Sus scrofa: one gene and its partners. The protein of the gene in region 1 purifies or fractionates together with the protein of each later gene. This does not show direct contact. Links are inferred from orthologs where the notes say so. Each region holds a gene or a part of one and is shown in the gene's direction. Other genes may lie near its edges. The genes, in order: EIF4A3, SRSF3, NCBP2, NCBP1, SRSF1 and UPF1.

Region 1 (5,093 bases):
CTAGATCTGAGCCACATCTGCAACCTACACCACAGCTCACAGCGATGCCAGCTCCTTAACCCACTGAGCGAGGCCAGGGATTGAACCAGCAACCTCATGGTTCCTAGTTGTATTCGTTTCTGCTACGCCACGACAGGAATTCCTCTCGTTTTCTTATACTAAGTCTGAAATTTGTGTGCGTTTTACAGCACAGCCCTAGGACAGTTCGCAAAACAATGTGGGCTACTTCAGAGAGGACACGGATAACCCCTCTGTGGAATCGCAAGACCTGAGAATACTTTAATCCACTGCACAGGCTGGGGATTGAACCCATGCCCTCCGCAGCAACTTATTCTGTATACATTTGTATTTTATTCACTTTAAAGTCTAAGAAAGAAATTCAGATTTATAAATATTTAATTTTTTTTTTTAAGGTCTGAACCGTGGTGTATGGAAATTCCTGGGCCAGGGATTAAAATCCCTGCTGCAGCTGGGAGTTCCTGTTTTGTCTCAGTGGGTTAAGGATCTGGTGTTGCTGTGAGCTGTGGTGTAGGTTGCAGAAGCTTGGATCCCAAATTGCTGTGGCTACTATAGGCAGGCAGCTGTAGTTCCGATTTGACCCCTAGCCTAGGAACTTCCATATGCTGCAGGTGTGGCCCTTTAAAGAAAAAAAAATTCAAGCTGCAGCTGTGACCAACTGTGGCAACCTGGGATACTTTAATCCACTGCACAGGCTGGGGACTGAACCCATGCCCTCCGCAGCAACTTACTCTGTGCCACAGCTGGAACTCTAAGGTTTGAGTAATACTGGCATTTTTTTTTTTCTTGCTTCTTAGGGTCACACATGCAGCATACGGAAAATCTCAGGCTAGAGGTCAAATTGGAGCTATAGCTGGCGGCCTACACCACAGCCACAGCTGTGCCAGCTCTGAGCCACATCTGCAACCTACACCACAGCTCACGGCAACGCCAGATCCTTAACTCACTGAGCAAGACCAGGGATCGAACCGTGTCCTCATGGATGCTAGTCAGGTTCTTAACCCACTGAGCCACAAGGGGAACTTCCCATACTAGCATCCTTATCAGGCACGTTTATCAGGTCAATTTTCTTGCAGAGTCTGGACATATTCTAAGGTCTGGGCCAGAGCTTCAGGAAAAGACCTCATTTACTTGTTTGCTGTCAACAAACTGCAAACCTCTGCACTCTTATGCCTGATTTTAATGGATAATATGATCACCCAGTTTTCACTGAATTAACCTTCACAACAGGAAAGCGTTTAAGCACTCCTGGAAAGAGGCTGTGAATTAAAGATATGCCCAGGATGGGAGCCAAGCAAACAATGAGAAAGGACGGAGCTGGCACTTGGGCAAGTACAAGTTTCACAAAGTTATCGCTGTTCTCACACAACACAGATGAACGTCCGTCAAGTGATGAAATCGGTTCAGAGGCCAGTTTTGCGGTACTTGATTTTAGAGGCACTTGAAGTTTTAGAGAAGCATGGCCCACGGGGCCATGTTTACACGGGATAATGAGCGCAGGCAGGGACCAGCACCCGGGTGCCTCCTCCCGGCAGGGGCGCCCTGGCGCACGCCGCAGCTCGTCTGCAGGAGTTCCAGTTCTACCCTGCCGCGCTGAGGAACCGGTAATGCGGCCAGGTAACCGGTAACCCTCCGCGCAACAGCCCAGCCCAGAGCCCAAGCCGAGGGACCCGGGCGAACCCCGGCGCCTACCTTACGCGGGTGCGGGGAGGGGCGGGGTGTGGCCAGGGGCGGGGCCCGCGGATCCCGCGGAACCCCTCCCCCTCGAGAGCTGCGGCACCGCCCCTTTCCCCTTTCACGTGACCAGGAGCTCCCCGCCCCTTCCGAGCGCGGCTCCGACGCACGCTCCTACGCAGGCACGCGCGCGCGATGCCGTCAGTTCCTGGCGGCGGCGACGGCGCGGCGCTCTACTTCCGCTTCCCGGTGCGGCGCGCAGTCGGTTCTCAGCCCGCTCGGCATCATGGCGGCCACGGCCACGATGGCGACCTCAGGCTCGGCGCGGAAGCGGCTGCTGAAAGAGGAAGACATGACCAAAGTGGAATTCGAGACCAGCGAGGAGGTGGACGTGACTCCCACGTTCGACACTATGGGCCTGCGGGAGGACCTGCTGCGCGGCATCTATGCCTACGGTCGGTGGGCGCGGGGCGCGGGCTGCGAGCGCCCGCCGGAGAGCATGGGCCCGGCCGAGGGCTGGGTCCCGAGACTGGGAGTGTGGCGGTCCTGAAGGTCGGGGATCCGGGTTGGGGCCGAGCCCGGGGTGGGTCACGGGTGACCCCTTCCCTCACCACGCGTATCCACCCCCATCTGTGCCGGCGGGTTCGGGTGTTGTCCTCCCGGCAGCGCGCCCTGCTGGGACCCAAGAGGGCTGCAGGGTCCTTTGGGCACTTGGGAGTCATTCATTCAGCGGATAACTGTCTTGTATCGGCCAGGTGCGCGGCTCTAGGTACTCGGGGCTTAGTAGGGAACCAGACAGGTTCGTGCCCTTAGTTAAGTTAGCTTAAGCCTTAGTTTAAGTTACATTTGGGAGGAGGACTGTATAATCGATGGTAATGGCTACGGAGAAAATTAAGCGGGATAATTGGTTCAAGCTGCGCGGAGGAGAGAGTTAAACTAGTAGAGCAAATAGGCAAGGTGGCTGCCAGTAGGGCCTGGCATTTGAACTGAGACTCAGCTAAGGAGCCCGTTATGAGAAGGTTATGTTAGAATTGGGCAGAGGGGGCAGCTGGTGCCAGGTCCTGCAGCCCGGAGCCGGGGACATTCCAGGAACAGAATCTCCTGTCCTCCCTGTGGGGAGGGAGGAGGGGGCCACATCTTGAAGAGTGAAGTCTGGGGTGATAAAGAGAGTGCATTTTATTTCTGAGTGCAGTGGGGGAGGCCATTGGAGGGTCTCATGCAAGGAAGCGACAGGACCATATTTAGTTAGAAGTGAATTGGGGTGTCTGATGTGGGTGGAGGTGAGGCGGGAGAGCAAGCAGGGAGATGCTAGGAGGCTTTTTGTTCCAGTCCGGGGGAGAGATGATGGTTTTCTGGTGGAGATGGATGTAAGCAGCAGAGGAAAATCCTAGGTGTGTGGCTGATGGGACCGGTGATGCTGCCCTCTGCTCAGGCAGGGAGTAATGGTGGGAGCACTTCTTGAATGAGGGGAGCTTGAGGGACCTGTGAGCCATCAGTTGTCCTAGCTGGGAGCCTCGGAAGAGGCGGGGTTGGGGCTACTCTCCGGAATGAGCAGCATCCGTGCTTAATGCCTGGGACTGGGGCATCTTTTTTATCCAGCAGTCCTTGAGTCAGGACAGTTTAGTGCAGAGAAGGTGCTGAGGGAACGGGAGGTGAACTATAGCAACTAAGCCTTGTAGTGAGGCTCACAGCCCACCTGCCTCTTGGGATCTAGGGCCTCCCTTCCCTGAAACACCTGCTGCGTCATCATGAGGGGTTTAAATCACATTAGATTGGCTTTTGTGTTAAGTGGGAAGTTTACTACATTTTAAAAGACTATGAGAATTATTTCATGTCCATTATTTGTACATGAAGTTTTGTTTACTCAGACAGTAGAGGGGTTGCAGTTCACGCAGCCGCATCCAGGGCAGGAGGGCATCCAGGGCGGGAGGCGTAGGTGACATTCGTTTTTAGATGATGTCACCTACCCAAAGACTTACTGCTGATAGGGAGTAGTGACTGACTGTGATGGGTTATTTAATTTAACAAGTGATGCCAAAACACCCCCAACAATGCAGGTTATTGTAATGAAGTCAAACAATGCAGTAGTAATGGAAGTAAGATGTGAGCTTCCCTCCCCCTGTTCTCCAGCAGTAACCACCTGTTAACTTTTTTTTTTTTTAAACCTAACTAGGGTCTCTGTTTGCAACAATGTTCCTCAGAGATTTTGTCTGTATAAATAAGATCATATGTTACTATAAAGAAAATCCACTGGAGTTCCCTTGCTCAGTGGTTAACAAACTCGACTAGTATCCATGAAATTGTGGGTTCAGTCCCTGGCCTGGCTCAGTGGATTAAGGATCCGGCGTTTCGGGAGCTGTGGTGGAGGTTGCAGACGTGGCTCAGATCCCAAGTTGCTGTGGCTGTGGCTCAGGCCAGCAGCCACAGCTCCCGTTCGACCCTTAGCCTGGGAACCTCCATATGCTGCAGGTGTGGCCCTAAAAAAAAAAATCCACAAAAGTCCACAAATCCTGCTTTGTTCAACAGCTGTTTTTTGAGAGCTCAGTATGTTGGACATTGCATCAGGAGGGTTTTTTTTTTTTTTAAAAAACATACCATCCTTGGAGTTCCTTCTGTGGTGCAACGGGATCAGTGGCATATCTGCAGCACCAGGATGTAGGTTCAGTCCCTGCCTGGCACAGTGGGTGAAAGTAACTGGTGTTGCCACAGCGGTGGTGTAGGTCACAGCTGTGGCTCAGATTTGATCACATACCCACGAACTCCATATGCCGAGGGGCAGCCGAAAGAGAAAGGAAGAAAGAGAGCCCATCCTTGCCCTCGAGGAGCCCCAGCGTCTGGTTGTAAGCATGCTGTCCTAGCGGTTAGAACTAATTGTTTTCTGCTCTAATTTACAGGTTTTGAAAAGCCTTCGGCAATCCAGCAGCGAGCTATTAAGCAGATCATCAAGGGGAGAGATGTCATTGCACAGTGAGTCTGCGGGAGCCGGGCCCGGGCCGGGCTGCTCAGCACAGCAGCGCCTTTGCGCTTCTCCTTCCGTCGCCGTGACCAGCCCTGGCCTTGCATTCAGCCATAGGCACTTTTTATTTTTGTGTCCTCCACTCTGGAAAGCTCTTTTTTAAAAAAGCCCAATTTCCTTACCTATCATTTGGCAAATGGGATTATGTATAATACTCTTAATAGCTTTATTCCCAATTTGCCTGTTTTTTTTTTTTTGGCTGCGTGAGTCTGAAATCAGACGATTATATGAAAGGAAATCTCTTTTTTAGCCACTGAAGTTACAGATTCTGCAGCTTCATCACTTCCTGTTTATTATCCCCATCACCTGTGATTTGAAAGTTGGGACACGTGCCTGAGTCCCACCCCCTTGAGGTGAAGATGTTGGCCGGGGGTGCGGTGGGGGA
Region 2 (4,427 bases), on another chromosome or scaffold:
GTCATGTTGTAAACTTTGAAATCTAAAATTGTGGAATCAGACATTCCCTTATGGTCACATCCTGATTGATTGTAGCTGGATGATGGTTACATGGGTTTATTGTACCATTATCTTTACATGATAACACTTTTTTTTAGGAAGTGTGGGTGTTATTTCCCTATGCTTTTAGTGTCTTGTTGACTGGCTAAGTAACACCTGAGGTTAGTTGGGTGTTTTGTTTTGTTTTTTGGTTTTTTTTGTTTGTTTTTTCTGTGCTAGTGGCTTGTGGATGTTCCCAGGTTCTGGGATCAAATGTGACAGTGCTGCATTCTATTTTTTTTTTTCTATTACTCAGTGAACTTATTACATTTTTAGTTGTACGATGATCATCACAATCCAATTTTATAGGATTTCCATCCCCCAACCCCCCCAAACTGTCTCCAGTGCTGCATTTTTAACTTGCTGAGCCACCGGGGAACTCAAATAACACCTGAGTCTTAAAGTGAACTAGTGTTGCCCTTTATCCTGGCATTTGCAAACCACTGGATTTCATGAAATCAAGGAAAACTTTGATCCTTAAGATGGAAAACTGAAAGGATCTGAGAGTTGGCTGTAAAGCTATATGAAAGGTCACTTAACTAAGCAAATTGCAGAAACTGGTTGAGAGCCCCACCTCTTCCCAGTGTCTGTCCAAATGTGGCTTATCTAAACTTAATGGTTGTGGACCAATGAAGAGGTGGGAGATAACTTTCTTACTGTTCTCACTTGCAATTTCTTGTCAACTATTGTGTGATGATTGAGTGGAGAGGGTTGTATTAAATAAATGGCCAGAATGCTTCTGTCCTGTTTACTGCTCTTTACTTGGAGGTATGAAGAGAAAGGAGACCAACAAATATAGTAAGGTTGGTAAACAATTGCTGGGACCTCAAAGGAAGTAGTCACACCAGCATGTACAGATGAACTAATTCTTTGAGAATGGATCCAGGGATTTTCACACTTAATATTGTCACTGTGATCATTGAACCCAATGATCACACTGACTAACAAAGCAATAAAATGTAAGGAAGGTGTTTTTTACCAGAAAAAAATATAGAAACTAAACCTTGTTTTGGTGTTAAGAATTCTATGAGCATTCAGATGTTTCTTACACAGAAACTAGCTATAAATGAATGTTGGGGTTTTTTTCCCGCTTTAATGTGTATCTTTTAATCAATCCGGCTGCTTTAAATTTAATGTTTCTTCCCTCTTAGAACGCTGTGTGGCTGCCGAGTAAGAGTGGAACTCTCTAATGGTGAAAAGAGAAGTAGAAATCGTGGCCCACCTCCTTCTTGGGGTCGTCGCCCTCGAGATGATTATCGGAGAAGGAGTCCTCCACCTCGCCGCAGGTACTTAGAGAGAGCGTGTTTAGAGGTATTGGTGTAATGGAGTAGCTGATAGGAACAGGTATTCTCTTAAAGTTTGTTGGTGGGTTTTAAACTTTGAAGAATCAGAGGTTTTTATGAAACATTTGCTGGGCGTAGCTTGGGGTATGTGAGTTGTGCTGAGTGTTGGCTTTTGTCTTAGGTCACTGTTCATGTTGGTAGTCAGTAACTTCTATCTTGGATCTATCTTCTAGTTCATCTTCTAGTTGCATCTTTCCAAGTCTTCCCTTATACTTCAATTTAGGCCTTTTTCCATTTCTTGACTCCATAATGACAAACATTACATTCAATTCTAGCTCTTCACCAAAATGTGTTTTCTACTATTGTAATATTTATCAAACAGGCAGCTGTTTTAATGTTGCAACTGGTAAAGTAGAAGTCATTCTGAAACTAACTTAAGTCACTGACCAATAAAGGGGGCTAAAGTAATCCCAGTCATCTGTTCTTCAAACCCAAATAGGAGAGAATTCAGTTTTTTTATAATTAAAAATGGCATCTTTCTTGGACCAGGCAGTATTGTCTGGATGCTAACTCCACATCTCCTCAAACCTCCAAAATAGTTTCTATAGGACTGAATTTACCTCTTACAGGTGAGTGAAGTCCTTCTAGGAGATAGGAGTTCAAAATCTTGCCCCTTTTGCTGTTTTGAAAAACAAAACAACACACTGTTGCCCATCATAATAAAGAGTATTTGTTAGCTAATAGATGGTTGTACTGATGGCTTGTTTTTCATTTTTTTTTTGTGCTTTTTGGTCCATCTATTAATAAAAATGAACCCCGTTACAGAGTCACCATCATGTCTCTTCTCACCACCCTCTGAATCTGCATTAGCCAGTCAACTAGCCCTTTCAGCGTCATGTGACCAGCGCGCCCCATTCAGCTTGGCTGGTGTCGTTTCACATGACCCAGGCATGGCCAGTCGTCAGGTTGCACCGCCCTTTGGTTCCCGAGCATGCTGTTTTCTCTCAGCCTTCTCTCCAACCTTAACCAAATCGGCAGCAGCCACCTCGACCGCCCACACATTCCTGGCCAATCAGCTCAGCTGTTTATTTACCAAATGTCTTCACAACAACTACAGCAGCAGCCTTCGGCTAACAAAAAAGCAGGAAAAATCCACAACACCCCCTTCGCCAACCAACTAAATCCAACGCAACATCTGGCAAAACCTTTTCAGCAAATTCTTCCTGGCCGTCAGTCCGGCAGCCTCACCTCACCATTTCTAGCTTGTTGAAACCCAAAAACTAGTAAGTTTTTCCTGCTTATACAGTTTACTGCTGGTTAAAATAAGGAGTAAGCGGCTTAAAGTAATTCTTTTTTCTGGATCAAAGGCTGGCTGTGCATAATTGAATGGTAACGTACATATATATTGCTTGAATAAAACTTTTAAGGGTGATAGGGAACTCATAATGTAACTAGACCTTCAAGTGAAACTTATTTGCATGTTTGAGATGCCAAACTAAAATTTTAATAATTCTAACAGATTTAGCTTTCCTTTCTAGCAAAAATTTGTTGAATCCTATCACCTTTAAATGGTTTTACTAACAGTTTTCAAAAATTAAAATTTTGGGGGTGAAGTGGGCCAAGCTAAGGTAATTTTGATAAGCCTAAACACACTCTTAAATGTGACGATCACAAATGGCAGTTCTAATGTAGCACTTAATGGCATCAATATTTACACCTAGCGCGTTTTCACAGAATTACACTATCCACCTGGTACCTAAGTCTTGTCATGGACTTATAGGTTTGCATGGGTTCCAAATACTGATTTATGGTACTGTTTTTGGAACTATTGTGGGACTACATTTTGGTGTGGTGTTTGGGTAGTGAAGTTAGTTTGACATGAAAGTTTTGCATTGGACAGATCTGCTGTGAAGCATTCTTTGTTAAAGTGAATCCATGGTTGGATACCTGCTTTTCACTTGAGCTTTTGGTTCCTTAATCCTTCTGTGCCTTTTTTCTTTTCTTTAAAAAAAAATTTTTTTTATTATTTTTGGACGATGGGTGCCAGTTCTTCGGCACATTCACTGGGCCCAACAGTGAGATTGAAAAGTTGGGAAATGCCTCACGCCATAAATGCTAATTGACAGTTAGTCTAATTTTCCTGTTTCTGCTTTTAGATCTCCAAGACGGAGAAGCTTCTCCCGTAGCCGGAGCAGGTAAATAACTACTTTTTGCGGGCCACGTTCTCAGAAATGGGAGTATTTGTGCTGTTCCTAAGCTGTTTTCCAAATGACTTAGATAATAGTAATAGATGTTGACTTTCATAATGACTGAGGTAGTATCTGTAACCACTGTTAAGTTGTAAGAAAAATTAGTTTTTAGTTTTTCAAAATCTTGGAAATACGGGTGTATGATCCTGAATGGCCCTATTTTTTTTTTCCCCTCTGACTTCAGGTCCCTTTCTAGAGATAGGAGAAGAGAGAGATCACTTTCTCGGGAGAGAAATCACAAGCCGTCCCGTTCTTTCTCTAGGTCTCGTAGGTAAGATCTTTAATGACCTGAGGCATAAAAGACCTTGCATACATAATGTACTAAAAACAAGTACTTCTTTTAAGTCATTTTGATACAATTTTTGTAACTTTTGGTTTTTGTTTTTAGCCGATCCAGGTCAAATGAAAGGAAATAGAAAACCAGTTTGCAAGAGGAGTGGTGTACAGCAAATAACTTCATTTGACAGGAGTATGTACAGAAAATTCAAGTTTTGTTTGAGACTTCATAAGCTTGGTGCATTTTTAAGATGTTTTAGCTGTTCACATTTGTTTGTCTCTTGGCAACAAAAGTAAAGATGTAATTTTTACACATAAAGATGTAATTCTCTATGGTTTGAAATGAATCATATGAGGCATGTAATACCAAGAATTGTTACTTTACAATGTTCCCTTAAGCAAAATTGAATTTGATTTTTTTTTTTTAAGTCTTGCATAGATTGATAATAAACCTCTAACTCCTGCCCAGCTAAACTGTGATGTTCAATATTACTGAAGCAAAACCGGCAAAAATTTGAGAAGACTTTCCATAGCTGGAATA
Region 3 (4,196 bases), on another chromosome or scaffold:
GGTGACAATGAAGAACAGGAGAAGTTACTGAAGAAAAGCTGTACATTGTATGTTGGAAATCTTTCCTTTTATACAACTGAAGAACAAATCTATGAACTCTTCAGCAAAAGTGGTGACATAAAGAAAATCATCATGGGCCTGGATAAAATGAAGAAAACAGCGTGTGGGTTTTGCTTTGTGGAGTATCCTTCCTGTGTGTCTATAGATGGCGGCCAGCAGTGGGCCCGAGTGTAGCAGTGTAGCGGGTTACATAAGTGAGAATATTCACTAATTAGCATCTGACACTTATCTCTACCTCTCCTTCCTTCATCTACTCTTACCTCCAGTGTATCTGTATTCTTATATTAGGAAAGCTGGTAACATTTATATTCTGTTCTGAAATCCATGCTTTGTTTGTAGTTGATTAAGTCTTTTTTTTGCTTTTTGCTTTCTAGGGCTGCACTTGTGGCTTTTGGAAGTTCTCAGGCTAGGGGTAGAATTGGAGATACAGCTGCTGGCCTATGCCACAGCCACAGCAATGCCAAATCAAGCTGTATCTGCAGCCTATACCATAGTTCACATGGCAACACCAGATCCTTTAATTCACTGAGTGAGGCCTGGGATCAAACCTCCATCCTCTTGGACACCCAGGTTTGTTACCACTGAGCCACAAGGGGAACTCCTGATGTTTTTGTTTTTTTTAATTAATATTTCCTTTTTGGGTCATTTTGTTTGAGAAATTTCCCAGACCTGATCTAACATGTCTTTTGAATTTTCTGTGCCTTGAATTGTTTGTTTGGTGTTTTGTTTTTGTCTGTTTTATCTTTTTAGGGCTACACCTGTAGCACATGGAAATATGGAAGTTCCTGAGCTGGGGTCAAATCAGAGCTGTAGCTGCCTGGCCTACGCCATAGCAGCACAGGATCCAAGCAGGTCTGTGACCTACTCCATAGCTCACATCAATGCCGGATCCTTAACCCACTGATCCGAACTGGTGTCCTCATGAATTCTAGTCAGGTTTGTTATCACTGAGCTGCAGGGAAATGGGAATCCTGGAAGAGGGACGTCGAGGTATAACAACCACAAGGCTCTTACATTTAGAAAGTGGGGGACCACGAGGCTAGTGTTCGCAGAACAAAGCAAAGGCACCTAGGCTTTAGCCCACATCTTTTTATTAAAGAAGGTGATGAAATTATTATTGATGGGATTAATGAATGTGACAAGATTAGTGGGCAGGGACAGCAATGGCTGAGGTTATCTAATTTGTAATATCAAAAGGGGATATCCTTAGGACATAATGTAGCTGTTTATAGAATAACATAGTTAATGCATAAGTCCTTCATCTTGTTTTTGAAAGAGACTCTACTTTAAAACTCTGAGTCCAGGAGTTCCTGTTGTGGCACAGTGGTTAACAAATCCGACTAGGAACCGTGAGGTTGTGGGTTCGATTCCTGGCCTTGCTCAGTGGGTTAATGATCCAGAGTTGCCGTGGTGTAGGTCACAGAAGCTGTGGCTCTGTAGGTTGCTGTGGCTCTGGTGTAGACCAGTGGCTACAGCTCAGATTAGACCCCTAGCCTGGGAACTCCATATGCCACTGTAGTGGCCCTAGAAAAGGCAAACAGACAAAAAAATAAAATAAAACTCTGAGGCCGTAGACACTTGCGTTCTGCAGAGTTCTGCTGTTCCATGGTCTCCAGCACTGAGCCACAATGGGGACTCCCTGAATTGTTTCTTTTGGTTGTATTTATGCTATAAATTTTCCTTAAATTTCTGGTGATCCCTGGGTTTCTGATCATAATTAGGGGAAAAAACTGACCCAGGTAGAGCTTCTCAAGTTGCTGCCTTGCCTTTAGGACATGCAGGTTTGTCTAATGCCAGAATGAAAATGGATTTGTATTTCGGCTTGTTAACATCAAAGATAATGCCCAGTTCCTCCAGATGGTTTATAACCGTATCACTTTATTATTTGCCTGGGATTAAATGCCTTCCTGCTAACAGGTTTTCTTCCCACATAGACCCCTTTAATTAGACCCTCTTTGCAGCCTTGTTTCTTATTCAACTTTGAATTAAGATTCTCTTGGGTTTGCTATCGTCTTCTTTAAGAATATTTTGTACTGTGATTTTGTTTCATCTATTAGCACTCTTCATCTTTGTTGAATCTCTAGTCTCCTGATGGCCCCTTCTACTCTTTGGGTATGTATTTCTTTTTTGTCATGTTAATGGGGGCCTTAAGGAAAGAAGAGAAAATGTGCTCCTGCTTATGCTATCAGATGCTTGAACTAGAAGCCCCACTTTTGAACCTACTCCCCACTTTGGATTTTGGTATCTGATTTCTGGGCTGTGCAAGCTTCTTCCACTCTCCCTTCAGACACAAGGGATGAGTGCCTAGGTCTTTCTTTCACATCTGGTAACTGTAAAATAGTTCACGGGGGACAAAAAGGCAAATAAAATCTTAGATAATAACCCATCTGTAAGAACTGGGATGTTTTGCATTTGCTTTGAAGGTCAAAGATCAGTAATCATGATGGCAAATAACCTGAAAGAAAGGGTACAATTCACTGCTAGGGTTTTTCTTTTCAGCTTGCCCTTTAGCATTCATTTCTTTCTACAAAAAAATTATTGAATGCCCACTGGGGGCTAGGTATTGTGTGGATGTTGGACACTAAATTTTAGCAAGTGTTTTCCTACCTGCTAAAGACAAGGGGGAAAAATCCAGATCAGCATTTCTTAAACCCAGTTAATTACTTACAGAGTTTTGTCTTGTTTTAATACCACCCCAAAGATTCAGTAGACCTGATGAAATAGATTTGGAACTACTAACCGGAGTAATCTTTGAATCTTTCCTTCTAATGAAATGCAGTGGCAATTCATATGCACCGTAATCTCTTTTTAAGGTTTTTTGTTTTTTTTTTTTGCTTCTCAGGACTGCACTTGCAGCACATGTAAGTTCCCAGGCCAGGGGTTGAATCAGAGCTGCAGCTGCTGGCCTAAGCCACAGCCGCATTAGATCTGAACCACATCTGCGACCTACACCACAGCTTATGGCAATGCCAGATTGCTGACCCACTGGGGCCAGGGATCGAACCCATGTCCTCATGGATTCTAGTCAGATTTGTTTCCCTTTTTTTTCTTTTTTTTAAGATTGTTCTTAATATATAGCTCCATATTTGGGTGCTATTTTCCCCTTAGATAACAGTTCATGATTTAAACCTGAACTAAACATTTTATATTTTGCAAACAAAAATATGGGGACAGTAGGGCCAAGATAATTAACAGAATTATCCAGAAAATGATTTTGTAGCTGTGTATAAGTGTAAGATTTGACTAAGTGCTTCTGGACCAAACTCAGACAGCCAGTGCAAGCCATATTATTGTTTTGAATTCCATCTGGTTGGATTAGTTTTTGTGCTGTTTCTTAACAACTCAGCTTCATTATGATGTTGCGTCCTCTGTTTACAAAAACATTTGGAGAAATGCTTATTTCCTTAATAATTACACTTAAGATACTATTCAAGAGCAGATGCTGAAAATGCCATGCGGTACATAAATGGAACTCGTCTGGATGACCGCATCATTCGCACAGACTGGGATGCAGGCTTTAAAGAGGGCAGGCAGTATGGCCGTGGACGATCTGGGGGCCAGGTATGTAGGAAGGTTCTCTGGGCTCAGCCTTTGCCTGGAATTCCAGTCCTAAATTGACAAGTGTTTTGTCAATTTTTATTTCCTCTTTTGAAAATAACTTTGTGCCTGTAACCTTTGGCTTGAAGTGAATCTGAAAACCACCCATTGGGATTGGTAAATTACTTTTAAAAACCATTGAATAGTATATTCCGTCTATCTCTAAAAGCATCCATTATTGGACTCCTGCTAGGAGTTAAATATTCTCCACCTGCAAGAGCATCTAAAACTAAAGCAAAATGTACTGAAATGACTTTCATATTTTTATTTTTATTTATTTATTTGCTTTTTAGGGCCACACTTGCGGCATATGGAAGTTCCCAGGCTAGGGTTCTAATTGGAGCCACAGCCACCAGCCTATGCCACAGCCACAGCCACAGCAGATCCGAGCCGTGTCTGTGATCTACACCACAGCTTACAGCAACGCTGGATCCTTAACCCACCGAGTGAGACCAGGGATCGAACCCGCAACCTCATGGTCCCTAGTTGGATTCGTTTCCGCTGCACCACGACGGGAACTCCATATTTTTAATTTTAAA
Region 4 (4,583 bases), on another chromosome or scaffold:
GTCACTCAAGTAATGGCCCTTCTTAGAAGACTTGAAAGTGCTTTTGAAGCTATGACATAATAAGTATGATTTTTCTCTGAGTTAGATGAGCTAGAACAAGTATTAGTATTTAATTTGTAAGGACATTACAGTAGGAAAAGTCTCACATGAGATCATGAAATAGTCTCCCTTAGCAGTGGAATTAGCAATCTAGACTTCCTCATCTCTCCGGTTGACACGGATCACTCTAAACTGTATGCTTTGTGAAGAAGTAGCTATGACTTCTGGATAAAGAAGTCTTCATTATGAAGGTGGCTTAAGTTGTTATTTCAGTTGTTCTTAAATAATGTGCTTTTGTTTTGTTTTTTCCATTGCTTACAGCTCAATTTTAATTTAAAAATGTACACACGAATTGAAACTAGCAGTGGATTTTACCTTTTTTTTTTTTTTTTTTTGTCTTTTTTGTCTTTTTAGGGCTAGATATGTGGCATATGGATTCCCAGGATAGGGGTCGAATCACAGCTGTAGCTGCCAGCCTATACCACAGCAACATGGGATCTGAGCAGCATCTATCACCTACACCACAGGTCATGGCAACGCTGGATCCTTAACCCATTGAGCAACGCCAGGGATGGAACCTTCATCCTCATGTATAGTAGTCGGATTCATTAACCACTGAGTCACAACGGGAACTCCTCAGATACAATTTTTTGAAAGAATCCAGTCAGTATTCAGTAAAACATGTCCTTAGGCTAGAAAACTACTAAGAAGAATTACTTTACTGTAGTTATGCTTAGATTCCTTCTGTTCTGAAAGCATTTATTTGAATGGAGTATATTTATGCTTAAACTCTAAGGGAAGCCATGACTGAGGTGGGGAAGGGTAAAGATTGAATGGTTACTATTAATGCAAGTTATTTTTTTTTTAAACCTAAATTGTCCTTAATACTCATGCTAGGAACTTTGGGAAAACACAAAGTGTAGGAGATTCTGAATGATCATGAATTCATATTTGCTTTTCTTTTTGAGCTAATTTCTGAAGACTGCCTAAATTAGGGGTCAACATTACCTTTTTCTGAAGTATGACTATAATCCTCTTCTCTATTTTTCACATAACTTTAATGAAAATTAACACTTAAGTAAGCAAACTGGGATGTAAAGACATCTTACTACATTGGGTACCATGTTAGAAATTCAATAATTTAACTGATAGAAACTGGGTTTAGTTCTGAATTTTTTCTAAGCAACTAGAGTAGTATTTCTCAAAGTGGAATTCTGATCCCATGACAGTTGGTCTGCGAAGTTTAGAAATTTTGTATGCTCTCTCTCCCCCTTATTGATTCTGCATTGAGGAAACTTGTTTCACAGCAATTTCCAGGTATTTTACCATAGAGACCATTTTCTGTAGAACTGCTATTCAGTTCCACTAAGCACATTGGAAGAAAAACTAGTCTAACATTAGTTATATCTTTAGTTTGATGACTTCACAATTAAGAGTGTTTAACTTTCTTAACTTGTGGATTAACTAGAATTAAAATGAAAAATTTGAGGGGGCCATATCTGCAACTCTATTCAATATTTATGCCTTTTCTGAAGTAGTTTTTAAAATATAGCTAAATGTGATGCTTTTCTAAAATTATAAAAATGATAAAATTTATATAATGTAAAATTCAGAAACTTAATGCTATTGTTTTGGGATCTTCTTGTTGTTCTGGGTTCTCAAATTAGTGCACGTCTGTTACCTGAGAAGTTGACAATTTATACAACACTAGTTGGACTGCTGAATGCCAGGAATTACAACTTTGGTGGAGAATTTGTAGAAGCCATGATTCGTCAACTTAAAGAATCGTTGAAAGCAAACAATTATAATGAAGCTGTATATCTGGTAAGTTTTTCGGTTTGGGAGGCTTTTTTGATATGATATGTTAGTGTTGGAATGGAGGGAAGAGGTGAGCTACAACCAAATAATTTATCTTTTCTCTTGAAATACAGTTCCCCACTCACCACAACAGCTGCCCTTTTGAAACCATTCTCATTAAAGGTACAGAGCTCATTTTACCAAGTCCAGTGACTTTTTTTCACTCTAAATCTTGGTTGACCTTCCTGCAGCATGTGATGCTTTGTACTGCTTTCTTAGTCTCGGTTTTTGCAGCACCTCCTTTTTCAGGACCTCGTGCTGCTACGTACCTTCTTTTTCTCAGTCTCCTTTTACTGGAGCAGCTTCCTTTGTCCCTTAAATTTTTGTCTTCCCTAGGATGCTGTCCTCACTGCATTTTCTTCCAAATACTCTTTCCTAAAGCATTCTCATTCTCTCTCATAGCTTCATAAACTACCTTTATGTTGAGGACACCCACACACACCCACACACCCCAAATCTGTAATCTGTATCTTCACTTCAACCTTTCTCTTGAACTCCAGACCTATGTTCCAAATACTACCTGGATAGCCCTAAGGTATCTTGCCTGGAATTCCCTGAATTAATGAATTATTCATATCTTCTTTCCTCTGTCCTCACCCCAACCTGCACAAATGGCTGCTAGTTACTGGATAGTCCATCGAGAAGCCGGAGCATTCGTTTTTGTCTTGCCTTTGCCCCCTCTTACTCCGAGCAGTCCCCAAGTCCTGTCTAGAGTTCTTCCTCCAGTCAGTCCCTTCTCCGTTGTCTCCAGGGCCTCTAATATAGTTCATGCCTTCCTCCTCATGTCTCAGTAGCCTCTTAACTGATCTTTTTACATCCAGATTCTCTACCTTTCACTTTATCTTCTACAGTGACACCAGAGTGGTCTTTCTGTAACAAGGTTCTGTTCGTATTGGTTACGTGTTAAAAACCTCAATTCCTTCCCATTGTCTACAGAGGATGGTTTTCAAAGCCATGAACAAGATGATGCAGGAAGTAACTGTTAGAACTCTTATTTATCTTAAATGGAAATGGAATTAAGCCTTATTAGTTGTATACATAGATTGACAATGGGCCAGTGTATATTATAAAATATATAATATATATGTTGGAAGTATGTGATCAGATTCTTTTCTGTTGAGTACACAAAAGAATTTAGACACCCATCAGGCTATAAGGTGAAGTTCAGATTCTTCATTAAGCCTGACCCTCAGTGGTTGCACTAGTCTGTTTCTGTTTGCCTCCCATATATCCTCCAGCTGTATCAGAATATTTGCAGGTCCCTGCACCATGTTTTTGAACTTCTCTGCCTAGACCCTCTCCTTGCTCCCCGCTGGAGGACAACTTTACTCATTCTGTATGACCTAGATGGATTGTTACTCCCTTAAGATGTTTTCCCCTCTCTCTGTATCTCTGTTTCTAGAGCACTTTTTAATTTATCCTTTAGTATAGGATTCATCCTTTTGCGTTGAGATTTGGCTTGTCCCACTAGACTATTAGCCCCCATATGACAGAGACTCTAATATGCTCAGCAGTGGCACACAAAGGACACCCAATAAATATCTTTTCATGAATTTCCATTTCTGTTGTCCAGTGAAAATTTCCTTCACAGCCAAACAGCAAAAGTTGTAGTAGCTAGAATATTACAGTTTAGGTTCTTATTCCAGTATAAATGTGAAGCTATCAATGCACAGACTCCTGTCCCTCCTGTAGTCTATCACAGCTACTCAGCTCTGCTATTAGAACATAAAAGCAGCTGCAGATAGTATGTAAATAGATGAGCATGGCTGTGTAAAAGTTGATTTGTGGACACTGAAATTTACTTTTGTAACTTGTGTGAATCAGAATATTCTTTTGGGTCTTTTTCTAGCATTTAAATATCTAAAAACTACTCTTAGTTCACAGGCTGCTTAAAAATAGGCATTGGGCTAGATTTGGCCCTTGGGCTATAGTTTTTCAGACCTGTGGTTTCAACCTTTACGCAATTGCTTGTTTTATAATTACTATAAAGGGCATTTACATTTAATAGAAATTGTTTTACCCAACAGGTCCGTTTTTTATCTGATCTTGTGAATTGTCATGTCATTGCTGCTCCATCAATGGTTGCTATGTTTGAAAATTTTGTAAGTGTTACTCAGGAAGAAGATGTGCCTCAGGTAAGAAGACCCCTTATGCTGCTTCTTGTCCATACAGTACCAGGTATTTTCTCTTTAGTATGGAATCTTATCCATACAGTACCACGAATTTTTCACCCTTTAGTAATTAAAAAAACCCAAAAGATTCACGGCAGGTTATCACATTATAAATTCTTAACATCTAGGAGTTCCCATTGTGGCTTAGCGGAAACAAACCCCACTAGCATCCATGAGGATTCAGATTCCATCCCTGGCCTCACTTGGTGGGTTGAGGATCTGAAGTTGCCATGAGCTGTGGTGTAGGCCGGCAGCTGCAGCTCTGATTCGACCCTTAGCCTGGGAACTTCCACATGCTGCACCTATAGCAAAAAAACTTAATATCTAAAAATTAGGTCAGCTGGCTTAATGGTGGGTTCTCATGACATCTGTATTTTAGTTAAATGATCCATTCTGGTAAGATTAAAACTAAGGTATCTAAAAATACTCTGAATGAGCCAGATATTTTCTTTAAGCCCTTTTAATTAGTGTCCATAGGATTTCATTGAAGAATAGATATACTATGTATGAAAATTC
Region 5 (5,383 bases), about 32 Mb from region 1:
CGAGTTCGATCCCCAACCTTGCTCAGTGGGTTAAGGACCCAGCGTTGCCGCAAGCTGTGGCATAGGTCACAGATGCAGCTCAGATCCTGCATTGCTGTGGCTGTGGTGTAGGCTGGCAGCTGCAGCTCTGATTTTAACCCTAGCCTGGAATCTTCCACATGCCGCAGGAAGAAAAAAAATATCTATCATTGGAGGATGATCTAAAAGACAAAAAAACTGTGCGATACCCAGTTTTGAAAACCATCAGATTTCAAGGACTACTACTAAAGATCTTCTGTGAATCTGTTGAGCAGCAAATTAAATTTGCATTTTGGGATTACTGAGAACACTGTTAAAATACATGCAATCGCCTTTTAGAACTGAAAACATGACCTTCTGAAAAATCTTTTTAAGGCACTTTGGATCTTGAATATACTGTTTCCTTCTTTACTGTGACTGCCATGATGACTAGGGTCAAATTTGTAATCCATCTTTAGAACTCACAAATTTTTACTGCAGCCATTTTGTGTATTAACTTTATCCATGACTTCATTTTAATTTCCCCTTATATTCTCCGTGATTTCTCCATTCAATTGCAATAACGTTTTCTGGTATCTCTGTAAACAGCATCACATCACTGGGGAGAGGGATTGATGCGAATAAATAAAAATGAAGAAAATCATCCTCTCAATCAGGGTGCAGACCTGTTTCAGCATATTTATGACAGGGTTTTTTTTTTAATTTGAATTCACCATTAATATTTTAAAATCCCAGTATTTCATATAAAAATCCAGATTTCAGATGGCTCCGTGGCAAAATGTAACAAGTTCTTATCTCCCTGGACCAACATGCTGGCGAGATGAGTCCTTAAGCCGCCACTTCGGTCTCCAGTGGTCACAGAAATCCTCACACATCCACTTTGCTCATTCATATTACCTGAGAGATTTGCTAATGAGTTCCAAAAAAGGAAGGAACGTCAGGATTCTGCAATACAAACAGGAGGGCGCGCGTCTTTTTCGTTCTTTGAAAGACGTTGTAGAAATAACAGACACAATTCATTCTGCAAACCTTCACTGGACCTCTCCGCTGCGCTGGGCCCTGGCGATAGGTGATTTAAAAAAGAAGCAGAGGTCTGGGTCCTGGTTGGCTGATGCCGCCAGGAATTACCGCCACGAGCACAAGGAGCGTTGAACTGAGGTCAGTTCTGAACCGAAGGTGGAACGGTACTTAGCGTAGAATATTTATTAAAGCGTCTCAGCCAGGTTCCCCTGCATTAGACAGTCGTCCAAGCAGTCCACGGCCCGTTCGCAGATGGGGCGGGAAGACAAAGTCACGTCTCGGCTCCGCGTTGATTCACCCGCAACGCGACTCCTGAACGAGGTGCACTCTCCAAGGATGCCCGTGTTTCCGGAGCAACCGCCTGGTCCCTCCCCCTTTGACTCCGCCCCCGGCAGTCTTTCCCGCCAAAGGCCGTTAACAGCGCAGAGCATGGTGGGACCTAGCTTTAGGCTAGGTTTCACCAAATACTTTCAAGACGCCGTTTTTTTGAGAGAAACATTCCTGAGGAAACTGCTGATTCTTTAGGATTCGACAGAGATTAATAACCCCTTTTACGAGAGCTCTATATTTAATTTTGCCACAAGGCTGGTCACTCCCTTATTAAACCCCTCGACAAATCGGGAAGGCGGGAACTTTTTTCCCTTCGCGCGGAGGGTGACGTCGCGCTTGCGCGAGCGTCACTCTCGCAGCACCCGTTACGCTCTTGCGCGTGCGTAGTGAGATCGAATAGCTGCTTCCTCCCGCTTCTCTTCCTCCCTCCCCCCCATATCCGTGCGCCGAGCTGATAAAGGCGCCATTTTGGAGGGGCCGCGGGAGACGTGGTGTCGCTGCGGGCTCGCTCTCCCGCTCGCTAGGCTTGGTGGGAAGGCCTGTTCTCGAGTCCGCGCTTTTCGTCGCCGCCATGTCGGGAGGTGGTGTGATCCGTGGCCCGGCAGGGAACAACGATTGCCGCATCTACGTGGGTAACTTACCTCCAGACATCCGAACCAAGGACATTGAGGACGTGTTCTACAAATACGGTGCTATCCGCGACATCGACCTGAAGAATCGCCGCGGAGGACCGCCCTTCGCCTTCGTTGAGTTCGAGGACCCGCGGTGAGGCGGCCAGGGGCTTGCGGCCTTGAGGAAATAGGTTGGAGTAGTTGGGGAAGGCTCCGGGGCCTTCACTTGGGGAATGGGGCGGTGGGTTCTTGGGTTGGGGGCCAGACGATATCGCCCATGCAGGAGTCGAGTAAGGAGCCGAGTCGGCGTGGCTCCTCTGGTGGCCGGGCCCCACGGACGTCCCTAGAGCCGACTCGCAGGCTCGGAGCGGGAAACTGAGGCGCCGAGGGCTGCTGGAGTGGTCGGGAGCCTGGCGTGCTTCTGGGTGGGGGAGGGGCCGTTCCTATTATGCGGCGCATGTGGGCTCTTCCACCCCGGTGCGCATGTGCGGGGGCCCGCTCGCTCCCCGGCGGAGTGAGCCGCCCCTCCTGGCCCTTTTTTTTTTTTTTTCTTCTTTTCCTTACCCCTTGGCTTTCTCTGGTCACGCAGAGACGCAGAAGACGCGGTGTATGGTCGCGACGGCTATGATTACGATGGATACCGTCTGCGGGTGGAGTTTCCTCGAAGCGGCCGTGGTACCGGCCGAGGCGGCGGCGGGGGTGGTGGCGGCGGGGCTCCCCGAGGGCGCTATGGCCCCCCATCCAGGCGTTCTGAAAACAGAGTGGTTGTCTCTGGTGAGTTGGCGGGTCCGTGCGGATTGATGATAAGGGGACCGCACACCGTTTTGAAGTTTTTCTTGGTGTTTTCATGCCAGGTCTTCACTTAAACCGGAGTGCCTTGGGTGACTTTAGTTAACAAGGACTACTCTATTTGAGACTTAGCGAATTAGGTTGCAGTACCTAGAAGATAAGAAGAGCCTTAACTTTACAAATAATTTTGGACTCTTGATTCCGAACTCTTTTAACAGCTCGTTAAACGGGATGTTAAAGACCGTTGGTTTTAAGTCTTGTTTTAATGTAACCTTTATGTTTAATGTGAAACTTAGGATAATTGGTATTGAAAGAAAACGCACTTTTTCAGGACTGCCTCCAAGTGGAAGCTGGCAGGATTTGAAGGATCACATGCGTGAAGCAGGTGATGTATGTTATGCTGATGTTTACCGAGATGGCACTGGTGTCGTGGAGTTTGTACGGAAAGAAGATATGACCTATGCAGTTCGAAAACTGGATAACACTAAGTTTAGATCTCATGAGGTAGGTTATATTCTTTTCCTTGGCCAGAATTGGATACAGTGGTCTTAACAGTGGAATTTGAAGGTAAGATTCAGGCAAGGGTGTCCAAGTAAAAACCCAGTAAAGTGCCAGATTTCTGGTTTGAGTTACGTTGATTCATTCAGCATGCCTGAAGACAGGTGAAAGCTTAGATCTTTCAATCGAAAGTTCTGTCTATCCAATAGGGAGAAACTGCCTACATCCGGGTTAAAGTTGATGGGCCCAGAAGTCCAAGTTATGGAAGATCTCGATCTCGAAGCCGTAGTCGTAGCAGAAGCCGTAGCAGAAGCAACAGCAGGAGTCGCAGTTATTCCCCAAGGAGAAGCAGAGGATCACCACGCTATTCTCCCCGTCATAGCAGATCTCGCTCTCGTACATAAGATGATTGGTGACACTTTTTTGTAGAACCCATGTTGTATACAGTTTTCCTTTATTCAGTACAATCTTTTCATTTTTTAATTCAAAACTGTTTTTGTTCAGAGTGGGCTAAAGTGTTGAATTGCATTCTTGTGTAATATCCCCTTGCTCCTAACATCTACATTCCCCTCATGTCTGATAAATTGTATTTTAAGTGATGTCATAGACAGGATTGTTTAAATTTAGTTAACTCTCCATGCTCTTCAGACTGTGATACTGTGTAAATGTCTATTCTGCTCTGGTTTGTGTGAACTGGGATGTTGGGGGTGTTGGTGGTTATCTTACCTGGGGAAGTTCTTATGTTTATCTTGCTTTTCATGTGTCTTTCTGTAGACATATCTGAAGAGATGGATTAAGAATGCTTTGGATTAAGGATTGTGGAGCACATTTCAATCATTTTAGGATTGTCAAAAGGAGGATTGAGGAGGATCAGATCAATAATGGAGGCAATGGTATGACTCCAAGTGCTATTGTCACAGATGAAATTGGCAGTATTGACCTTATACTAAAAGGCAAGGGTTTAAAGTGATTATATACATCTATCTTAAAACACTTGAAAACATTTTATGCAGTTATATTTGGCTACAATTGCTTTACTCTTTAAAACTCTGGCAATTGTGGCAAAATTACATGGCCCATTTTGTAACAATTTGTTTTGCTCCCTTCCCTTTTTTGTTTTATTAGGGACTAATGTGGGAAGAACTGATTAATTTGTCACAGTGCTTAGTTACAACTGTTAATGTGTGACCTGCTGTTGGTGTACTTGTGGGTACAGGGTGTCTTTAATTCCAACCAGATAGAGTATAATATCAATACTGCTAAATCTGCATGTCCTCTGTGTGACTGATATAATAGCGTTGCTACTTCATTTTTTTAAGACAAAATGAAAGCAAAATAATAGAATTCCAATTTATTGGTGTAGATAATCTAGTTGGGAATACTTTTTAAGTCTCACGTTCCCCTTTAATATTCATAATTGACTCATGTTTAAAACACTTTAATTTACAAATTAAATTGCAGTTGGGAGCATTAGATTTAGTTTAGACTTAGGTGGGTAGCAATACCAGTAAACTTTTAAACTACATAACTTTTTGCAACCACAAAACCTGTAATACGCTGTACAGTAACAAGTGTTGGCATTATCAGTTGAACTGTAAATATAAAATGCTTCTTCCAGTTAGTCTCTATGATGATTAAGTTTCTAAAATTTATCTGAACACCATTCAGAAACTTGTTTTGGGGAATTTGATAGTTATTGATGTACATCTGTTAAACTGATGACAGACATAACTCATCATTCCCCAGAAACCTTTTTTGATTACAGTATCTAACATTTTGCCTCCTCTTTTTTGGTTTTGCTGGTTATAAAGGTTTGGATTGGAGAGGGCTCACTGGATCCCAATCCTTGGAGCTGGATCATTGGATTCAAATCATAATGTGGATAGGATAGGGAGGATGAATTACAAGGATTCATGGAGCGGGATCAGATTACCAGGAACATAGGAGTGGATTCCTGCCCCAACCAAACCGCATTCGTGTGGATTTTTTTTTTTTTTTTTTTTTTATTCAACTTAATTGGCTATTCCAAAGATTTTTTTTTTTTTCCTATTTTTGACGATTGGAGCCCTTAAGATGCACGATGGAATTGTGTTTTGCATTTTTGGTAAAAGGAGCAA
Region 6 (5,123 bases), on another chromosome or scaffold:
CCCCAATTTCTCCTTTATTGCTTTCTTTTGTGTTAAATGGTTATGTTTTAGTTTATCACCCACAGTGCCATTTTGTCTTTTCTTGTGTGTGTCTTTTAGGGCCGCACCTGCGCATATGGAGGTTCCCAGGCTAGTAGTCTAATCAGAGCTACAGCTGCTAGCCTACACCACAGCCACAGCAACGCGGGATCTGAGCCTCGTTTGAGACCTACACCACAGCTCATGGCAACGATGGATCCTTAACCACTGAGTGAGGCCAGGGATCGGACCCACAACCTCATAGTTCCTAGTCAGATTAGTTTCCACTGCGCCACGACAGGAACTCCCACAGTGCCATTTTGCGAATGTGAGTATATGTAGGAAATAAGAGGATATCCTTAGAAGTGGAATTGCTAGATCAAAGGCAGGGTAGGGCATGCATTTAAAACTCCGAGAGGGACCTCCCATCATGGCTCAGTGGTTAAGAAACCCAATCTAGCATCCATGAGGATGTGGGTTCCATTCCTGGCCTCGCTCAGTGGGTTAAGGATCTGGAATTGCCATCAGCTGTGGTATGGGTCACAGACATTCCTCAGATCAGGGCCGAAGTGGCGGCATATGGAGGTTCCCAGGCTATTGGTCAAATTGGAGCTACGGCTGCTGGCCTTTGCTGCAGCCACAGCAACTCCAGATTCAAGCCATGTCTGCAGCCTAGGCCACAGCTCACAGCAATGCCAGATCCTTAACCCACTGAGGAGGCCAGGGATCAAACTTGCATCCTCATTATTCCTAGTCAGATTTGTTTCCACTGAGCCACTACCGGCACTCCCCTCAGCCCATCTTAATGGTTATTATTTCCCTTTCCCAGCGGAGGAAATCCTAGGCTGAGACGTGAAATCATTTGCACAAAGTCACACAGCCAGTAGGTGGCCAGGTCTGGATTTCAAACCTGAGCAAGTGCTCCCAAGTGCTTTGTTATATACTGCCTCTGAATAATATTATAATTGTACAGAACTGCTGCAACCACCATTTCTGCGTGCTATGTGCTGTGCTAAGGGCTGTCCCCACTAATTTATTCAACAAATGCACACTGAGCAGCTACTATGTGCCAGGCATCCCCATTTTAAAGGTGAGGAAACAGGCCCAGGAAGATTCTCTAAAAGATGGGGACGCACCGCACCGTCCTCGACAAGCTTCCCCAGCTGGGTTCCACCTGTGTAAGGTATTCAGTTGGCGGTCAATTAACCCAAGACATTGTCGCCGCCCCTAAGGGCAAGGACCACCACATCTACACCATCCGCTGCCCAGGCGCCACGGAGGAGCGGTTGGAGCGAGACTAGCTTCTCGAGCCGCCGTCGGGAAGACGGTTGGAAGCCCCGCCTCCCGCGCTTGCGCGCTGCGCGTTCTGTCGGCCCACTCAGCTCCGGGAGTCCGGGCGCGGTAGGAGGCGTCCTCGAGGAGCGCGTTCGTCTGCGCCGGCGTCGGGCTCGCGCACGCGCACCTGCGGCGGCGTCGGGCTCGCGCACGCGCACGGCGGCGGCGGCGGTTCCTGCCGGGGGCTGCGAGGGCGGGCGGCTCCGAAGGAAGCGGTGGTACTGAGGGGCTCAGCGGCAGAGGCGGCGGCTCGGCGCGCGTGGCTCTCGACCCGGTTCGCACCGCGGCGGGCGTTTTGATCTTGTCCAGGAGCGCGGGCGCGGCGGCGGCGGCGGCGGCGGCGGCGGCGGCTGCCCAAGACCTGCGGCCTAGGCCTCAGCGCAGCGGCGGGCTCGAGTGCGGCGCGGAGCCGGCCTGAGGGCCCTACGCGGCGGCACCATGAGCGTGGAGGCGTACGGGCCCAGCTCTCAGACGCTCACCTTCCTGGATACCGAGGAGGCCGAGCTCCTCGGCGCCGACACGCAGGGCTCCGAGTTCGAGTTTACCGACTTCACCCTCCCCAGCCAGACGCAGACGCCCCCCGGTGGTCCTGGAGGTGGAGGCGCTGGGGCCCCGGTCGGCGCGGGGCCGGGCGCGGCCGCCGGACAGCTCGACGCTCAGGTGAGCGGCACATGGCGGCGCCGGAAGATGGGGCCAGGCCTCGGCGGCCGGGAACCTGCCCTGGCTCCCCCTCCATCGGGGCAGAGGCTGATGTGCTCGTGTTTCAAACTCCAGTCGGGCCTGGAGTAACCTGGCGGGGTCTCTCCCATTCAGGACGTCCCCGGAGTAACCTGCCCCGGCTCCCGCTCTCCAGCCGGATCCAGGCAAACCTACCTCAAGTCCTGCTCTGGTTGCGTCCGGGTGATTTCAGGATCTCGTTCAGGCTAGGTCTTACGCGATCTGTCCCAAGTCCCCTTCCGGGTCTGTCTTTGGCCAAGTCGGGGATGACCTGTCCCCGAGTTCTCCAGCTGGGTCGGTGATCTGCTCCGGTCCCCTCCTCTGGCTGATCCGACCGCCCTGCCCCACCCCCTTACCTGTGGTCGGAACCTTCAGAGCACTCTCCCTTACCCCTCTTATGCCCACTGAGCGGCGGATTCAGATTTCCCTGGGCTCAGGGACGCTGGTGAGAGGAGGGTCGAGGCTCCCCCAGCAGAAACGGAACTTTTGCCTCCAGTCGTGAACCCCATACTCGTTGGCTTTTAAGATTATTCAGGAGGCAGTTTGCGTTTTGTTTTTCTTTCTGGCATTGCCTGTTGCTGAAACCGACCTGTTACGTAACTCCGCAGCCCTGCCTTGGAAAAGTTGGGTTTGAGTTTGTTCCTCCAACGGGGTAATAGTGGTGGGTTTTACTTAAATTGGTCTGCCACGTCAGAGACTTTTGTTCTTAATGATGTGAAGACTATTTTAAATTTGGGTTTGTGTTATGAGAAGTATTGGGCATACACTTCCTGGATCTGGGGCCCTGCCCTAGGGTGGGCAAGGGGGCTGGCTGTGGTCTTGAACTGGGCTCACTTGGGAATGTAGCCATCATCTTCTGAATCTCAGATTCCATTTCTTTGCCTGGTACCTCCTTTGATTTTATTTTCCTGAATTCTCAGCCGTGGAGGAGATATAGGGCTTGCCTTGTTGCAGGTGTCCCTTGACATGAGGACCCACCGTCAGATCTTGGGGAGCCAACCTGTCCTCAGCCAGAGTGAGCTTAGACCCTGTCCTGGGGAAGGGGGCTTACATTGTAGTTGGTTGAGTCACTCCCATGGGTAGACCACCCACTTGGACTTTCTCTTAGCCCCTAATAGAAGCAAAAAACATTTGACTCATTCTAACCTCAGATTCCTTAAAAATAGATGCTTGATGGGTGGGGGCATCAGGGAGAACAGGTGTGCATGTATGTATGTTTTTTCAGTTTTGTTTACATATGATGGGGGAAGTTAGAGGGGAAAGTTTGCATGGAGACATGAATGAGCCACCAGAGACTCTTGATAACACTTGTAGTTTCATACCTTGTAGATTTGTTCCCACAACTTTAAAATGGGGGTAACAGCTCTTATTTGGTTACCTTTAGACATATGTGAAATTGGACTTCTGTATGAACGGATAGACCTGATAGTGTTGTCTATAATTTGCGTCCACCATGTCCGGGAAGCTGAGGATAAAAATCTCTTGGTTGAGCAGTGTGTCATGACCTATGGTAGCTCAGGGTTGTGAAAGGTAATTGTTTTATTGCAAATCCTTTTTAAACTGTAGCCTATAAAACAGCAAACCTGGGCAGCTCCAAGTTGTAGTTTTGGTCCTTGGTTTCTGTTTTCGGTTAATTGTGGGGGCGTGTCCTCTTTTAGTTGCAATAATTGATTACTTTTCCTGCACCTGACCATTGAACTGTACTAAATAAGAGCATTAAAACACTCCACTGGAGGGAAACATTATAGTTGAACTCATTTGAATTCTGATGACATCAAAACGGTTTGTCCTTCCTTACTTTAACTCTGTAGCCTAACTTTGGATTTGTATTTTGGGGAGTAATATCCTTGGAGTCACAAGAGGAAGCTTTGGATTTGGGGGCAGGAGAGTCTGAATAGAACCAGAAAGTGGAAAAAAATTGAGTATCTCCTGTGCCAGTTGGAGGCATTGGCTGCCTACAACATTTGGGAAGATTTTCCTTATTTGTCTTCAGACTTGTCTGTGTAACCAGCTGTATGATGGGGCTTCTATTCTGAGTGCCTTTTGATTTTATCTTACTGGCTGAGTGGCTGTGAATTGTCACATGCTATGCATCCACTTTCATTTCACAGCTTTATTGAGATAGAGTTCATGTACCATATACTTCACCCATTCAAAGTGAGCAGTTCAGTGGTTTTAGTACATTCAGAGTTGCACAGCCACCACCACAGTTGATTTTATGACATTTGCATCACTGTAAAAAGAAATCCCACATCGCTTAGTCTGTCAGTCCTCCCTTCTCCAATTCCAAGCAACCGCTGTTTTTTCTCTCTGGATTTATCTCCTCGGTATGATTCCATATAAGTGGAATCATACAGTATGTGGTCTTTGGTTCTTTCATTGAGCCTGTTTTCAAGGTTCATTCATGTTGCATGTGCTCCATTCCTTTCGATGACTGAGTAATATTCCATAGATGGACAGACCACATTTTGTTTATCCTCTTACCTGTTGGTGGACATTTGGATTGTTTCCATTTTTAGCTGTTATGAAGAATGCAGCTGTGAACATCTGTGTACAAGTTTCTGTGTGGGTGTAAGCCTTCAGTGAAACTACTGGGTGGTCTGGAAACAACTGCATGTGGTTTTCAGGGCCTGCCAGACTGTTTTCCAATGTGTAGCCACTTTTGATATGTCTTGACTGCCAGTTTTGCACAGTTGGTTTTACCTGAAAGTTTGTTTAGGTAACACATGTGTGTCATGGCCAGGATGGGTGGGAGAATGGCAGGCCAAGCTGATGCCTGCTGAGTTCTGCATTGGCTCAAATAGCATTTGTTTTCTTGTTTATGAAATGAAATTGATATTTATCAAAGCCCTTGAGATCCTGGGATAAAAAGCACTGACATGGCCTTGCCAAGTGTCCTTAAAATAAAGGGGCAGTTATCTTTTGAGCCTTTGACCCTTTTGTAGCCCCTTCCCCTACCCCTCAAAGGGCAGGGAAAGGTAATTTCAGAAGTCCTTTGCATAATAGATGGTGTTCCAAACCTTCTGGTCTGCCTAGTTGGAATATTTATTCTT

Evidence for each region.
Region 2: the proteins of EIF4A3 (region 1) and SRSF3 purify together in Homo sapiens (affinity purification with mass spectrometry; 3 studies listed by BioGRID and IntAct, with this or other methods). This does not show direct contact. The link is inferred for Sus scrofa from reciprocal best matches to the Homo sapiens genes EIF4A3 and SRSF3.
Region 3: the proteins of EIF4A3 (region 1) and NCBP2 purify together in Homo sapiens (co-immunoprecipitation; 3 studies listed by BioGRID and IntAct, with this or other methods). This does not show direct contact. The link is inferred for Sus scrofa from reciprocal best matches to the Homo sapiens genes EIF4A3 and NCBP2.
Region 4: the proteins of EIF4A3 (region 1) and NCBP1 purify together in Homo sapiens (co-immunoprecipitation; 3 studies listed by BioGRID and IntAct, with this or other methods). This does not show direct contact. The link is inferred for Sus scrofa from reciprocal best matches to the Homo sapiens genes EIF4A3 and NCBP1.
Region 5: the proteins of EIF4A3 (region 1) and SRSF1 fractionate together in Homo sapiens (co-fractionation; 4 studies listed by BioGRID and IntAct, with this or other methods). This does not show direct contact. The link is inferred for Sus scrofa from reciprocal best matches to the Homo sapiens genes EIF4A3 and SRSF1.
Region 6: the proteins of EIF4A3 (region 1) and UPF1 purify together in Homo sapiens (co-immunoprecipitation; 8 studies listed by BioGRID and IntAct, with this or other methods). This does not show direct contact. The link is inferred for Sus scrofa from reciprocal best matches to the Homo sapiens genes EIF4A3 and UPF1.

The regions. Positions count from the first base shown.
Region 1 is NC_010454.4:2,283,717-2,288,809, forward strand, and holds the start of EIF4A3 (eukaryotic initiation factor 4A-III), read left to right. Parts: upstream 1-1,962; 5' UTR 1,963-1,978; coding exon 1,979-2,147; intron 2,148-4,586; coding exon 4,587-4,659; intron 4,660-5,093. UniProt on the Homo sapiens protein: ATP-dependent RNA helicase. Involved in pre-mRNA splicing as component of the spliceosome. Core component of the splicing-dependent multiprotein exon junction complex (EJC) deposited at splice junctions on mRNAs.
Region 2 is NC_010449.5:32,291,777-32,296,203, forward strand, and holds part of SRSF3 (serine/arginine-rich splicing factor 3), read left to right. Parts: intron 1-1,229; coding exon 1,230-1,364; intron 1,365-2,186; exon of another isoform or gene 2,187-2,644; intron 2,645-3,517; coding exon 3,518-3,556; intron 3,557-3,794; coding exon 3,795-3,881; intron 3,882-3,998; coding exon 3,999-4,026; 3' UTR 4,027-4,427. UniProt on the Homo sapiens protein: Splicing factor, which binds the consensus motif 5'-C[ACU][AU]C[ACU][AC]C-3' within pre-mRNA and promotes specific exons inclusion during alternative splicing.
Region 3 is NC_010455.5:133,186,400-133,190,595, forward strand, and holds part of NCBP2 (nuclear cap-binding protein subunit 2), read left to right. Parts: coding exon 1-182; intron 183-3,482; coding exon 3,483-3,621; intron 3,622-4,196. UniProt on the Homo sapiens protein: Component of the cap-binding complex (CBC), which binds co-transcriptionally to the 5' cap of pre-mRNAs and is involved in various processes such as pre-mRNA splicing, translation regulation, nonsense-mediated mRNA decay, RNA-mediated gene silencing (RNAi) by microRNAs (miRNAs) and mRNA export.
Region 4 is NC_010443.5:239,501,984-239,506,566, forward strand, and holds part of NCBP1 (nuclear cap-binding protein subunit 1), read left to right. Parts: intron 1-1,706; coding exon 1,707-1,863; intron 1,864-3,923; coding exon 3,924-4,031; intron 4,032-4,583. UniProt on the Homo sapiens protein: Component of the cap-binding complex (CBC), which binds cotranscriptionally to the 5'-cap of pre-mRNAs and is involved in various processes such as pre-mRNA splicing, translation regulation, nonsense-mediated mRNA decay, RNA-mediated gene silencing (RNAi) by microRNAs (miRNAs) and mRNA export.
Region 5 is NC_010454.4:34,278,585-34,283,967, reverse strand, and holds the start of SRSF1 (serine/arginine-rich splicing factor 1), read left to right. Parts: upstream 1-1,849; 5' UTR 1,850-1,939; coding exon 1,940-2,133; exon of another isoform or gene 2,134-2,560; intron 2,561-2,568; coding exon 2,569-2,753; intron 2,754-3,099; coding exon 3,100-3,272; intron 3,273-3,475; coding exon 3,476-3,670; 3' UTR 3,671-5,383. UniProt on the Homo sapiens protein: Plays a role in preventing exon skipping, ensuring the accuracy of splicing and regulating alternative splicing.
Region 6 is NC_010444.4:59,009,896-59,015,018, reverse strand, and holds the start of UPF1 (regulator of nonsense transcripts 1), read left to right. Parts: upstream 1-1,495; 5' UTR 1,496-1,791; coding exon 1,792-2,013; intron 2,014-5,123. UniProt on the Homo sapiens protein: RNA-dependent helicase required for nonsense-mediated decay (NMD) of aberrant mRNAs containing premature stop codons and modulates the expression level of normal mRNAs.